Linked DNA regions of Kluyveromyces lactis. The protein of the gene in region 3 purifies or fractionates together with the protein of the main gene of each other region. This does not show direct contact. Links are inferred from orthologs where the notes say so. Each region holds a gene or a part of one and is shown on either strand. Other genes may lie near its edges.

Region 1 (4,242 bases), on a different chromosome or scaffold from region 3:
ATACAAATCGTTTTTGTTGCAACTTCTTGAATAGATCTTGATCAATGTATTTCTTTAATGATGGCCCGTCTTGAGTCATGTGACCACTTTCAGATAAACCCTTGCGACGTCTTGTCTTCATCACAAAGTCCCTGCTTAGGCTTGCAGCAGGCGCTGGTTTCAACTTCGGTATGAAGGCTTCTTCGTCAAGTACGTCACCTGGCACTTTTCTCCATATTTTATTCCAAAAGTGCATTTGACACATTCCGCTACCGGCGGTCGCAACACGAAGATCTGTCTCAAATCCAATCGACTCGATGACAGGTAATTGAGCCTTTATTTCTATGAATGGTGATGCCACTATCTTTTCTGTCTTGTAAATTCTTCCACCTCTGCGTCTCTTCAATAAATTCTGAATCACAGACTCCAATACCCCCGATACGATAATATCGACTTCATAGATGGGTTCCATGATAATTGGAGTAGCAGACATTAGCGCAATGTAACATGCCTTTCTCGTCATTGGCACTAGTTGAGATGGGATGATATCTTCGATGCTGTCTTCTTGTACCTTGAATTGCAAGAGTTTAAATTGGCATGCATGGATTGTTTCATCAGCCAATGGTCCTTCTTTCACAGCCCATTCAAACCCTTGTAAAATGTTTTCTTTATATTTCTTGAGTAGTTGCTTATCCGTTTCATCAGGTAGAGTATCGTCAATGAATACATTACATTTTGATAAATCCCAGCAGTTTCTAGCTGCCAATGAGTCCCATCCATACTCGGTTCTTAGACGTTTGGAGAACTTTCTCATGTTATTCAATTCTGAACTGTCGATTTCACCATGCGTCAAATCGTGTACTATCTTTCCATCTAATTTTTCGGCCATAACGCTGAGTGATACTACACCGTTGTTTGACTTTACAGGAATTGACGCGAACGATTCGTTCTGACAACTTTCCGTGAATTGCACAAGCGGTTGGCTTACTTTGATCTCAATTTCACAGAATTTTTTCCGTAATTCGTCCATCACGCAATCAAGGTAAAGTTCTCCTGTTCCAATTATGATGTTTTCGCCGCTTTCTTCAACTCTAACCACTAATGCAGGGTACAATTCGTTTGCTTGTTGAAGACCGTTCAATAGTCTCGGTAGTTCACTTGGTTTCTGAGGCTGTATGGCGAATTTGAACACCGATTCGTTGAGATAGTTAATTGGTGCTAGCGGGTTCATCAAGCTCGAAGACAAAGTTGCATATTTCGTATACTGATCTTCAAAACCTTTTAAAAGTACAATCTGTCCTTTTATTGCTTCCTCGAGTTCGTAGACATACCTACCTCCCATTAAGGCTACACGCTCAATAGTAACCTTGGAGTATTCATCATCACCAAAATCTACTACAGAGTCTACGGACTCATTGAAAATATAGAGTTTGTTGCCTTTTTTCACTGAGCCCTCTATTATCCGACAAAGGGACCACTTGGAACCTTCCAGGCTCATGTGTCTCAATACATGTACAACAGTGCTTTCATCGGATGATAAGTTGTTGATTTTGTGGTCCTGTGTTGAAACAATAGCATCGATGAAGCAGTGATAGTGCGGTAGTATAGCATGAAACACGCTAAAAAGTAGCGGCTGAGGATCCTTTGATAGAATCTCATCTGAAAGCCTGATTTGAAAATTGGTTTCGATGACTGTTCTTAGTTCTTCCTCGGATGCAGATAATGTATGAGTGAAAACCTTGTATAAAGGTTGTAAAATAAACTGAATGAATGCAATGTTGTCCGTAATAAATTCTGTTTGGTAGAATGCTCCTTCTCTGTAATTAATTTGACCCCAAAGTTGAGCAGCAAATTGTTCTGTCTTATCCTTTAACGATTTAGCGTAAAATGAGTTCACAAAAGACTCCACAGAGAATAAGAATCCAAACTTGGTACTGGCAAAGAGTACATTACCTAGCTCCGGTGAGAATCTTTCTTTGGTATATGTGTTTATTTCGTTCACGATATATTGTAGTTTGCTGTATGCGTCTGTAGGAGGAAGTCTCAAATCCAAAATTAATCTATCAATTTTGTTAAGAACGATGATAAAGGGGATCCCATTACTTATCAATTCTCTTATCAGTTTGGAAACTACAGAAGTAATTCCTTCTATCACATCAACGATGATTACACCATATTGGCAAGCAGTCAAAGCAATACCGACATCGTCCCAAAAATTTACATGTCCAGGTGTGTCCAACATCGTCACTGCATACGTACGTCCTCTTGACGATTCATATGCAAACGACATACCATTCAATCTAAGCGAAATACCACGTTCCTTTTCTATCCTCGCTTGGTCGAGGTACCTAAACGGTACCCATCCCTCCTTAACTTTTTTTGTCAAGGACGGAAGATTGCGATGAGTATCTAACGCAAACATATCCGTGAAAGAAGTCTTACCACAATGTAGCGCCCCGAAAATTCCAACATTTAACTGACGTTCTGGTATCGAGAAAAGGCTTTTCAAGTACCCTCTGTCAAATAGTGCTTTAGGTACTTTCCTGTTAACAGCTTCGCTATATGATTTCGAATCGTCCCCAATCAATGGTTTCTCAGGTTCTCTATCTTCCACTTCCAACAAAACTTCAACATCATCATCGAAATCACGGTTCACATCTCGAAGTACCACATCGGTAGAGTCAGCCTCGACTATCTTTTGCCGTAATTCATGTTGAGCTTCCTGCTCTCCTACTTCTTCCAAACTATCATCATCAGAATCGATTAATTGCATTGGATCCCCAATGAAATTACCGAACTCATCGTACAAATCTTCATCCATTATTGTATTTCCTTCCAAAAGTACTCAGTGCTGAGTCACGTCACCCAAATCGCAGTAGTCTTCCCTAAGAGCAATGCATGTGCTTATCATTCTATCTTCATTACTCGAAGCTTTGACTTTCGTCAACATTTACATAATGTCTAAGAACTGAAAATATCGATGAGCCCTCGAAAAGACAGACATTTTGCCAAGACGGATGCCGAAAGGGTTCTAGGAAATAAAAAGGGTGAGCTTACCAAGGGGTCACACAGAGCCGAACTGCATTTTGAAATGCCTGAATACATCTGGCTTTCTAATCTTAACGGGAACATACACATTCCCGAGCGATTGTTGTCTTTATTGAACGAGGAAGACCAGGATATTCCCGATGAGGTTAAAGAGTTTACATATGTACAGCAACTTGACAAGAATTTACTTTCGCGGACTTCTGTTATTGGTCTAGGGTTTGGGTTGATGAGTCCCGTACTTGGTATGAGCACTACTATGAGTATTGGATTGCTAAATGGTGGATCTCCATCGATAATATTTGGGTATCTGATATGTGGGATAATGACGTGGATTAGTTCACTGTCGCTCAGTGAGATAGTCTCGAAGTACCCCATAGAACTTCACGGTGCAGCGGCCATGCTTGCGCCTGGCAGACTTCGGTTGCGTATGTCTTGGTACTGTGGTTGGCTAATGTTGTTTGGAAGTTGGACGATGAGCACTAGTATTACGTTTGCGGGTGCACAATTGATTATTTCTTTGCTGACAATGACTAATGAATCTCTGATAGACTCCCGGTGGTTGACGTTATGGACTGTGCTAATGTTTTATCTCATTGTGACTGTGGTTGGAGTCATTAATCTAAAATTTTCAAGTTTCATTGAAACTATCAATAAGGTCTGTGTTTACTGGATCTTATATGCGATATTATTCACAAGTACACTTCTCCTATTATTCCAACCAAACCATAGATCATTCAAGGATGTCTTTACCAAATTCGATAATAGTTTGTCGGGGTATAGTTCTATGGCCTTGTCATTTTTAATTGGAGGGTTTCAGCAATCTAATTTCACTTTCCAAGGGTTTGCGATGTTATCGGCATTATCTGACGAAACTGAGAAACCAGAGAAAGATATTCCTTACAGTATGACACGCTCTGTGATAATCTCACTAGTTTCCGGACTATTTTTCTTGATCCCAATGATGCTCATTCTACCTGATGTCTCTGAGGTAATGAATCATGAAGGTGTCATGCCCATCGTGCTTATCTTCACAAAATCTACTAAATCGTTATTCGTTTCCATCTTCCTTGTTCTATTGATCTTGGGAAACCTATTGTTTTCAGGTATTGGCTCGGTGACTACATCTTCAAGAGCACTGTACAGTTTAAGCCGTGATCGTGGTATTCCATATCATCACCTCTGGACTTATGTGGATCCTGCGTCAGAATCTAAGGT
Region 2 (4,300 bases), on a different chromosome or scaffold from region 3:
TCTTCGCTAAAAGCAGTTCCCATGAAAGCGTAATTCCATATCGATGACGAAGGTACCAAGAAATTGCCCATAATGCGTTCAGATAATAAAATCTGTGCAGTCTCGCTAAATGAAGCTTCAAACCCTTCTGGTGAAGGGTCCGTTATGTCTTTCGATTGTAAGCCCCAGTTGAAACCCGTAGTGCTTAACGTATATCCTGTAATTGATACGGCACCTGGGATTAGATTTATGCACAAATCAACAGCACTTTCGTTATGATCTGAAAACATTTTGGAATGAGTGATCACTTCAGATGGTGACATGAATTTGGAATCGACTTTTTGGGTATGTATCCATCCCAACAGTTCCATGTCGTTGAGATATTTGGAAGATGAGGGGGGAGGAGATATGCGAACAGTTGCGGAACTGCCGAGTTGAGGGACAAGTGCTATCGTCTTAATTTCCTTCACATTAGGGTGATCTTTTACAGGTGACCCGTACATATACCCTGCAATTTGGACATCGACATCAGCTATTGTGACAAACTTCTTCAACAAGTTCCGTGGGAATACGAGGACATCTTTATCTTCTACAAAATCTTCGGCAGTAACATATATGTTCTTAAGCTTCAAATGTAGCAATGAATTGGAGATTGCATTTGACCGCCAAGCATTTTTCGAACTGAAAGATTGGGACTCATAATTGCTGGATGACACCACTGTAATTTCTTCACCTTGAGCATTGATTGTTTTTAGCTTCATGGCTGCCGTGGCAGACTGCGACGACTCATCAGTTTTCTGATTTCTTGCAGCCTCCAATTCTGCCATCTTCTGCCTCTGAACAGATGGAGCTCTAATGTTCTGTCCTAAAATCAAATTCTTGATTTCAGTTTGAGTCAAAGAAGCAATGTTTACATTGTATTTTTGACCATACTCTAAGAGAATTAGATCACGCATCTTCGTCTCAATTTCAATCCACTGATCATCAGTAAAAGAAGGCCATAGATGATTAGCTCTCGTTGGGATTGTAGGATCCTCTAATAGAATCATTTTGGCTTTTTCTTCATTGGTTTTGAGCGCTCTTAATAGCAATATCAATCTAGAGAAAGCAGTGTAGGCAGAAACTCGAGTTAGCCAGTCATCATAAATGTTGAACAAAACCATCTGCGGTTCTGTAGCGCTTAAAACAACATCATTTAATTTTTCTATGTTCAAAACAGAAGAAAAAGGTAATCTGAGCTCAGTTGGACGAATCGAAATGTTTGGGAAATCTAACATGTGTACTTCCATAGGGTCCATCATAGCTTTTCTAGTAACTATAATTTGTTTAGGTTGTTCTTCTTTGGGTAACGATCTAACCAATGCACTTACTTCTTCTGCGGTTTTCCATTTTGCCAATTGAGCCAATCTGCTCTGCCCCGCCCACACCGAAGTGTGAATTATTTTCAAATATAGTTCACCTGTTTTCGGATTTAAAGTAAACACGCATCCGTTGATAGGCTTAGTAGCCACATTGCCTTCATAAGTTCTATGAACAGTGACCCGGTAAACATTCGTATCATCGATAAAGAATTTTGTGTCATTGGAAAATAGCTCTGCGTAGTTGGATGAGTTCAAAAATGGCTCTTGAACTTGAGATTGATATATCTGAAGACCTTTCCTGATACGCTCCCTCAAAACGTAAAGTGCTGGATTAGCTTTCATTATTGTTTTCATACCGTTGTGTATCAAGGGCTTCAATCCCTCAAACCACGTTCCATAGGAGTCGTAAATATTATAGGCCAAGTCAATACCGATCATAATACCAGTAGGAGACGGGTACAAGCTCACGTTATCTGTGGTGTAATCTAAAAATTTCGCACGGACATATCTTGATATATCATGAGAATCATAGTCACCATATCTAAGCTGCACATCGATCCACATTTTGTCAGTTGTGGTAGCGTCGAAAGAATCTTTCGTCTGATGCAACAATGTTGGTCTGCTAACCTTCCATTTGTAAATACTGTTCAATGTGATGTCAGCAGCAGACGAATTCATCTTATACGACTTACGTGGATGAATTGATTCTTTTTGAACAGATTCAATCTGTAGTATATCCATTTGGCCGTCCAGAATTTGACAGATGTCGAAAACCACACTTTCGTGGATTTTTTGCCATAGATGTGCTCGGAAAATTTGAATTAAAGATATCTTCAATGTTGGAATTTTACCGTGCAAGAATATTCCTGTTAAATCCAATTGCACCAAAAACCCAACGTAGACGTTCGCTCTATTAATCGTCGGAGACCACCATAACGTAAACCTACGATTAGGGATCTGACTCAAACCAGTTCTTTGTGCATGAGTAAGTTTCTTGAACTGCATTGAATCTTCAAAACCAGAGGCTTTCTCCCAGAAAAGTCCTTCCCATGATTTAAAGCCAGTTCCTTTAAATAATGTGTGCTCAAGAATTGTTTCGATACCCCCTAAGGCCTGAATGACATCCGTACGATAGGCATTCAAGTTCCATAATTTACCATCATGACGATTATTTGTCCACCAGAAAGCATTACTACGTTCCACTGAATACTCTTTGAATTGTCGCCTAATCCTGTGACCCTTATCATAGGCTAGCGTATGCCTATCTTTTTGGAATATGGTACTGATCCGCGGTATACCTCTATCCCAAGAACCCTCTAATTCTTCAAATGCCAACCTACGATTTTGTTTTATGGCTTCTTGTCTTTTAGCAGCATAATCCGCCCATACTCTCTGTGAGTCCAAAAATTCGTTCTCCCAGGTAGTAATGTATCGGAAAATTGTTGGTATCATCTTCTCATCTTCGTGGGACATCCCTGCCCTGAAATGTGTTATTCCAGTATCTGTGTGTTTTGACCACCTCAAGTCAGAAGCGGGAATTAAAATGTGCGATGCGCTGAGCATTCCCAAACCACCTAACTCTTTAGGTGTATAAAACACTGCTGGAGGGAACCTTGTTGGCATTTTAGAATTTAAGCCGAGTTTTACTCTATTTTGAACTCTAGTCTCAGATTTCACGAGTAAGTCGAGTAACGGTTCTGTCGTGACGATAGATTCTCTAAAATAGGTAAACAAAGCGATTAGTGCAGTATTCCATTTGCCCACAATTTTTGTAAAAGTTGTGGAGCCGGAACCCATCAAAATACTTTGAATACGACCTCTAAACTCATCAATAGCTTCTTGTGATACCTGTAAAAACGCTTTGGCAGTCCGTTCTTTTGTGGAGTCCAACACCAAATCCCATACACCCTCATCATGAGAAATGACATCTTCCATCCGAGATTTCGGTAGTATTCTCACCTCAAAACCGCACATAGTGAAAAGTAAATTAGGATTATTCTTGCTATAAACTGAAGAAAGAGTATTCTCCCACGTTATGTTAACAAGTGATTTTGGTACCCTAGATGTAAGTTCCCAGAAAACAGCACGACCTAGATTAACATCGTGTCTGATTAACCTCATGCGGGCGTCTCTAGGCCAGCATTTCTTGTTGTTATAACCAACAGAATTTTCAAAATTTGGATCGGGGTTTTCCATCAAATAGTCTTGGATAAGCTCATCAGACTCAGATTCTTCAAAGTGGAATAAAATATGGATTTTGTCAAGATAGCGTGAGTAGAGGCGAATTGGGCTCTTCGTTTCAGTAGCTTTATCTGGAAATTGCAAGAATTCAGATGGTTCGTTTGGAGGGCCTGCTAGTTCCTGTGCCCTTTCATGTCCCAAGATGAGAATATCAATCATTAAACCATAAAATTGATAAACAAATGGTGCAAATTGTAATCCCCTTATTAGACCATATTTGTTAACATGATTCATATCCTTAAAGATCAAACTGACATTATTCTTTGCAGTAATGTAATCCGCTAATGTCGGATCGATAATTAACCTTAGGAGCCTGTTTATTAGTGTCAAATCCATCTTTTCAACGAATTCTTGTAAATCAGTTTGCAACAATACGGTCGATTGCCCTTTGCTGATGTCCCATACAGAATCTAAGTTGTTAATGCCTTGACACCATTTGTAAACAAGAAGTGGCGGGATTTCTGAGTCACCTGGCTTTATCCAACTAGGGAAAAGCTGCCTTCTGTCAGCTTCATACCATAGATACTGGTCAAGATATGCATCGGTAATTTTCTCCAACGGATCAACGTTATAGACTGGAGATATGTGTTGATAATGATCCATCATTGTTAGTTGTATTGGCTTGAATAATCTTTGGGTTAGCAATAGTTTTTTAATTCTATTCAAGGTATCATGAGGATTGTCATATGCCTCTTCAATTAAAGCTAACTCTTCACGTT
Region 3 (4,782 bases):
TCAAAGAAATAAAGTCACCTCCAAGTCATGTCGTCCAAGCTAAGAATTTTGGTGCCAGTGAAGCGTGTTGTGGATCATGCCATCAGACCTCGTGTCAACAAGCAGTTTACCAACGTTGAGACCAAGAACTTGAAGTTCTCTATCAATCCGTTTGACGATATTGCAGTGGAAGAATCTGTGAAATTGAAGGAAACTCATCCTGATGCCGTCGAATCAATCCATGCCGTTTCCGTTGGCCCACTGAAGGCCCAAGATGTGTTGAGGACAGCTTTAGCCAAAGGTTGTGATTCTTCAACTTTGGTTGAGCATGATTCTACCGAATTGGAGCCATTGGTGATCAGCAAGGTGTTGAAGAAAATTGTTGAAGACAAGAATGCTAACTTGGTTGTGCTCGGAAAGCAAGCCATCGATGATGATAGCAACAACACTGGTCAAATGCTCGCTGGTTTGTTGAACTGGCCACAAGCTACCAACGCTTGTAAAGTAGAATTGTTAGAAGACGGCGCCAGTGTCAGAGTCACCAAGGAAATCGACGGTGGTGAAGAAATCGTGGTCGCAAAATTACCTATGATCATCACCACTGATCTACGTTTGAATACGCCAAGATACGCTACGTTACCAAATTTGATGAAAGCCAAGAAGAAGCCTTTGGAGAAGTTGAAGTTGAAGAAAGATTTTGAAGGGATCAATTTGGACCCCCAATTGAAACTGCTAAAGGTCGAAGAACCTCCAGTCAAGAGTGCTGGTATCAAGGTTTCCTCTGTCGATGAATTGGTCTCAAAGCTAAAGGAAGCCAAACTGGTTTGAACACTACTTCTGGCTTGATTTGAAACATTCGACTTATATAATATTATGAATGATATGTGGTTATTGTATAAAATGTTAACACGTTGTATAAGTTAATATAAGAGTACGAACAATTTCTCAGTTTGCATTATCCTTGTCAGGGGTCCCAAGTTTCCTCATGTCTCGTCTCTTTGGTGCCAAATGTTCGAGTAGTCCCTTTGGTTTCGATGCAAGATACGTCTCCTGGTACCATTTATCGAACGTCTCTTTGCTCTCTTGTCGTTGCCGTATCAATTCCTCGATATCGCTATTAAACTGTATTACTTGCTGCAATTCAGCAGTGTCTGTATCCGGCAGCAACTGAAGGCTGGGCAAAGTTAGCTTCTTCCTCCCCTTGGGCCATTTCTCCGACGATTCAACTCCATGGTATAATACCACTTTCCTTAACTTTGAATCCATTACTTATGATTTGCCTGGTGATGGTGGCGAATAATCTCCAACTATACAATCTGATCTCACCGAAGGCTACTCAACCTGCTATGATACTATTGAAGTCGTCTGATATACTCTCTCTGTACCCTCTGTTCATCAGTTTGTTGCAAACAATATTTAAAACTTGATTCATTCATTTAACTTCATTCTATGGTTGATATTAATTTCAATTAGACACATAATGCCACATGTAGCGACACACAATGAGCGATACCAGTGAAACAATATGTTCCATGTGTCAATTGTTCTACGTGAACAAATGGGTGCTCGGTACAGGTGGTGGTATCGGCATTAAACAGGACAACATCGCATACATATCACCAAGTGGCATTGAGAAAGAACTGTTGGAACCTGAACAAATTGTTAAATACAATATACAGGACGATACTTATCAATGTGGTGCGCCTGGATTGAAACCCTCTGCGTGCACACCGTTATTCCTGGAGCTATTCAAGACGCTGGGTGCCTCGTGCGTCATACACACGCACTCTATCAATGCGGTGCTTTGTTCAATGATATATGAGAAGGAGTTTACCATCAAGGACATTGAACAAATCAAGGCGATACCCAAAGGTGACGGTACCAATTTGAGGAACGTTGATACCCTACGTATTCCAATCATCGATAACGCTCCAGAAGAACAGGATCTCATGCCAGCGTTGAAGCAAATGATTAAGGATTATCCAAATGCATGTGCGGTACTGGTGAAAAGACATGGACTCTTCGTTTGGGGCCCCACGCCAAAGAAAGCCAAGATATACATCGAGTCCATCGATTACCTCTTTGAAGTAGCTCTCAAAATGAAAGAACTCGGTCAATGAAAGGGAGACCAGCAGCTGTGTATAACATTATTTATATTTCATCTGTTAGCCCATCGCTCACTCCAAATGTCTATTTCTTCTTTAAACGGTAACTTATTCTTACACGCTGGGAACTTCTGAAGTTTTGCCAGTTCTTTTTCTTCTGGTATATCATCTATCAGCCCACATAATACCACTTCACTACTCCGTATAATGCATATCTTGCTGTCCTTTAAAAGAATCATGTTTCCCGCATGATCAAACCCTTTCATTTCACCATAGTATGTGTCTCCATCGACATTGACCAACATCACCTTCTTGTCCAAATAATCTTTCAATAGAGCACTCATTGTCCATTCACTGTTCTAGCAAACAAGGGGGCAGTTATGTGGATATCTTCGCTCCGATGGATCGTTATCTTTTCTTCGTTACTATTATAATTTGAAAGTAATGTTTTCTATTTGAAGATTCTCTATTATCAATAACAACAACATCTTCAACAAAGAAGAATCACACATCATAACAGAAGTATACAGGCTTCTACAGCAGTTATCTAGAGTTGTGTTGTGGCTAATATTGTTAGAAGCTCCGAATCACGGTTGAAATGGCGGAAGAGAATGAAAGTGAGACCGATTACGGGTCTTCTCCCTTTAAAAAGATTCCAGACGCCGACAAACAGATCTTAGAATGGACTAGTCGTCTAGAGTTGGAGACTGTGCAGTTGCGGGACACGTCTGAGAGTCTATTCAAGATTATCAAGGAGAACGTGGATGAATTGAGCCATTCGCGAAAGTTATTCCAAGCAGAACTTGACAGTAGAAAAGGTATGGTTTCTATGCACAATGAAAGGAATATCTACTTAGTATAAGGGCATTTACTTAGTTCTATCTACGTGGATTGGTCGTTGATTGATACCCTTTAGGAATGATTCTTTGTAAGAGTCACTACGGTCAGTTTTTACTAACTAGGAAAATAACGGATGAGACTCCGAGAAGTCGCCGTTATTTCTGTGTGTATTTAGATGGTAATCAAGAAACGGGAACGGAGATTGTCTCTGAAGTAAAGTCTCGTTTGGATCAATTAAAGGCATCAAGCGGTGAAAGTTTGCAACTTTTAGCGGATAATATTACGAAGCAGATGGATAAACGACATCGAGAATGGATGGACAGATTTACCATGAATGAAAATGTCATGTTCAATGTCGTGCAACAAATGCAAGACCTCACGGATGCCATCCAGACGTTGCATGAAGATATGAGGTTAGCTAGCAAGAGGCAGGCGTTGCTTGAGAAAAGATTGAGACATGAATCTATCGCTACGCCTGAATCTCAACACCTAAATCAAAACCAGACACAACGACTCAGGGTATTAATCCCCTGGGAAGAAGTTCAAGAGTGCGAAATGAAATGATTGACCACATTTCTGTCGGCATCGATGGCAATGGTAAGATTTGTTTTGCCGAACGCGGTGTTCGGGTCAATGAAGTTTTTATAATATAGTTCATAACAAGGCATATATCTATCAACAAACGCCTTCACTTGCGCATCAGTCATTCCTTCGCCCTGAGATGCTAGCATAGCATGCTCTTGTTGTAACCTCCACCTATATACATTGTTGGTGTCGTCAGTTGCGAACTTGATACCGACAGTATCCAATGACTCATTATTCCATAGCAATTGTCCGTACTCTTTCAACGAACGGTTCACTTGTTTCAGATGTAACAACTGGTGGTTCAACAGTATAGGTGACGAATTTTTCCTTTCCAATTCTGTTTCTGTAATGGCTTGGAACCCAAGGAACCATCCCTCGATGATCACACAGTCCAATGGCAATTCAATATCAATACTGCCAATCCTGTCTCCTTCTCCGTTAAATCTAGACTTGTCATATACGGGCAACTGGATCTTTTTACCATCATGCACTTTGTCTTCATCATTTGCAAGCTCTTTCAATGTCTCTTGCAATGCTTTCAAGTCATGAGTGCCCGGTAACCCCCTTCCATGTAGTAATTTATTCTCTGGGAATGCTGACTGTAACTTCAATTGGTCCTCATGGGTCAGATAAAAATCGTCAATGGATGTCAATGCTGCTCTCACGCCCTTCTTCTTCAACGAACGAAACAATATCTCACTATTATACGACTTACCAGACCCTTGTGGCCCGGAAACCAACACAAACAAAGGACCTTTCCTGTCACCTTGAACTTTCCGTTGTTCCAATTTCTGTTCAACAAACTCCACGCTTAACTCTGCAACGTTCATTTCTATTGCAATCTCTCTTCAAACCCAGCAATCCAATACCATACGGTGGTTTCAGTCTCCAATGGTTGCAGATCTTGCCGGTAGCTGTGTTTGCCTTTAAAGGTTTCGTCTTCAAATTGTTCTCTTAGGCAAGAATTTCGGCGATAATCAATTCATACCTTTAAAGGTTTGATGACTCTCATGAACAAAGCCTTTGAACACACCAAAAAAAGAAGAGAAAAGATACCATACTCCACACCGTTGTGACTTCAAAGAGGGGTATACTGGATTGGTATATATACGGGTAGATACTTAGACCAGTTACCAGTGCTACTTAGGTGTTAAGTAGAGAGAACAAGACAGTTGAAATATCCTACACGACACTGGAGATTTGGAGAAATAAAGTACTAGCTCAGAATGAACAAGCTTCACTCTTTGTTACGGTTACAGCAGGTTAGTCTGAC

What was found. The genes of interacting proteins can lie anywhere in the genome.
Region 1: the proteins of LSM8 (region 3) and SNU114 purify together in Saccharomyces cerevisiae (affinity purification with mass spectrometry; 3 studies listed by BioGRID, with this or other methods). This does not show direct contact. The link is inferred for Kluyveromyces lactis from reciprocal best matches to the Saccharomyces cerevisiae genes LSM8 and SNU114.
Region 2: the proteins of LSM8 (region 3) and PRP8 purify together in Saccharomyces cerevisiae (affinity purification with mass spectrometry; 4 studies listed by BioGRID, with this or other methods). This does not show direct contact. The link is inferred for Kluyveromyces lactis from reciprocal best matches to the Saccharomyces cerevisiae genes LSM8 and PRP8.

What each region holds. Positions count from the first base shown.
Region 1 is NC_006037.1:603,569-607,810, reverse strand, and holds the start of SNU114 (U5 snRNP GTPase SNU114), read right to left. Parts: upstream 2,801-4,242; coding exon 1-2,800. Other genes in the region: TPO5 (Tpo5p), read left to right, coding at 2,960-4,242. UniProt on the Saccharomyces cerevisiae protein: Component of the U5 snRNP complex required for pre-mRNA splicing. Binds GTP.
Region 2 is NC_006037.1:471,930-476,229, reverse strand, and holds part of PRP8 (U4/U6-U5 snRNP complex subunit PRP8), read right to left. Parts: coding exon 1-4,300. UniProt on the Saccharomyces cerevisiae protein: Functions as a scaffold that mediates the ordered assembly of spliceosomal proteins and snRNAs. Required for association of BRR2 with the spliceosomal U5 snRNP, and the subsequent assembly of the U4/U6-U5 tri-snRNP complex.
Region 3 is NC_006041.1:1,465,621-1,470,402, forward strand, and holds LSM8 (U4/U6-U5 snRNP complex subunit LSM8), read right to left. Parts: upstream 2,429-4,782; coding exon 2,138-2,428; downstream 1-2,137. Other genes in the region: CIR1 (Cir1p), read left to right, coding at 28-807; KLLA0_E16413g (uncharacterized protein), read right to left, coding at 925-1,245; methylthioribulose 1-phosphate dehydratase MDE1, read left to right, coding at 1,482-2,099; TDA10 (putative ATP-dependent kinase), read right to left, coding at 3,467-4,339; TES1 (palmitoyl-CoA hydrolase), read left to right, coding at 4,736-4,782. UniProt on the Saccharomyces cerevisiae protein: Component of the nuclear LSM2-LSM8 complex, which is involved in spliceosome assembly. The LSM2-LSM8 complex plays a role in the biogenesis of the spliceosomal U4/U6-U5 tri-snRNP complex by accelerating PRP24-mediated annealing of U4/U6 di-snRNA.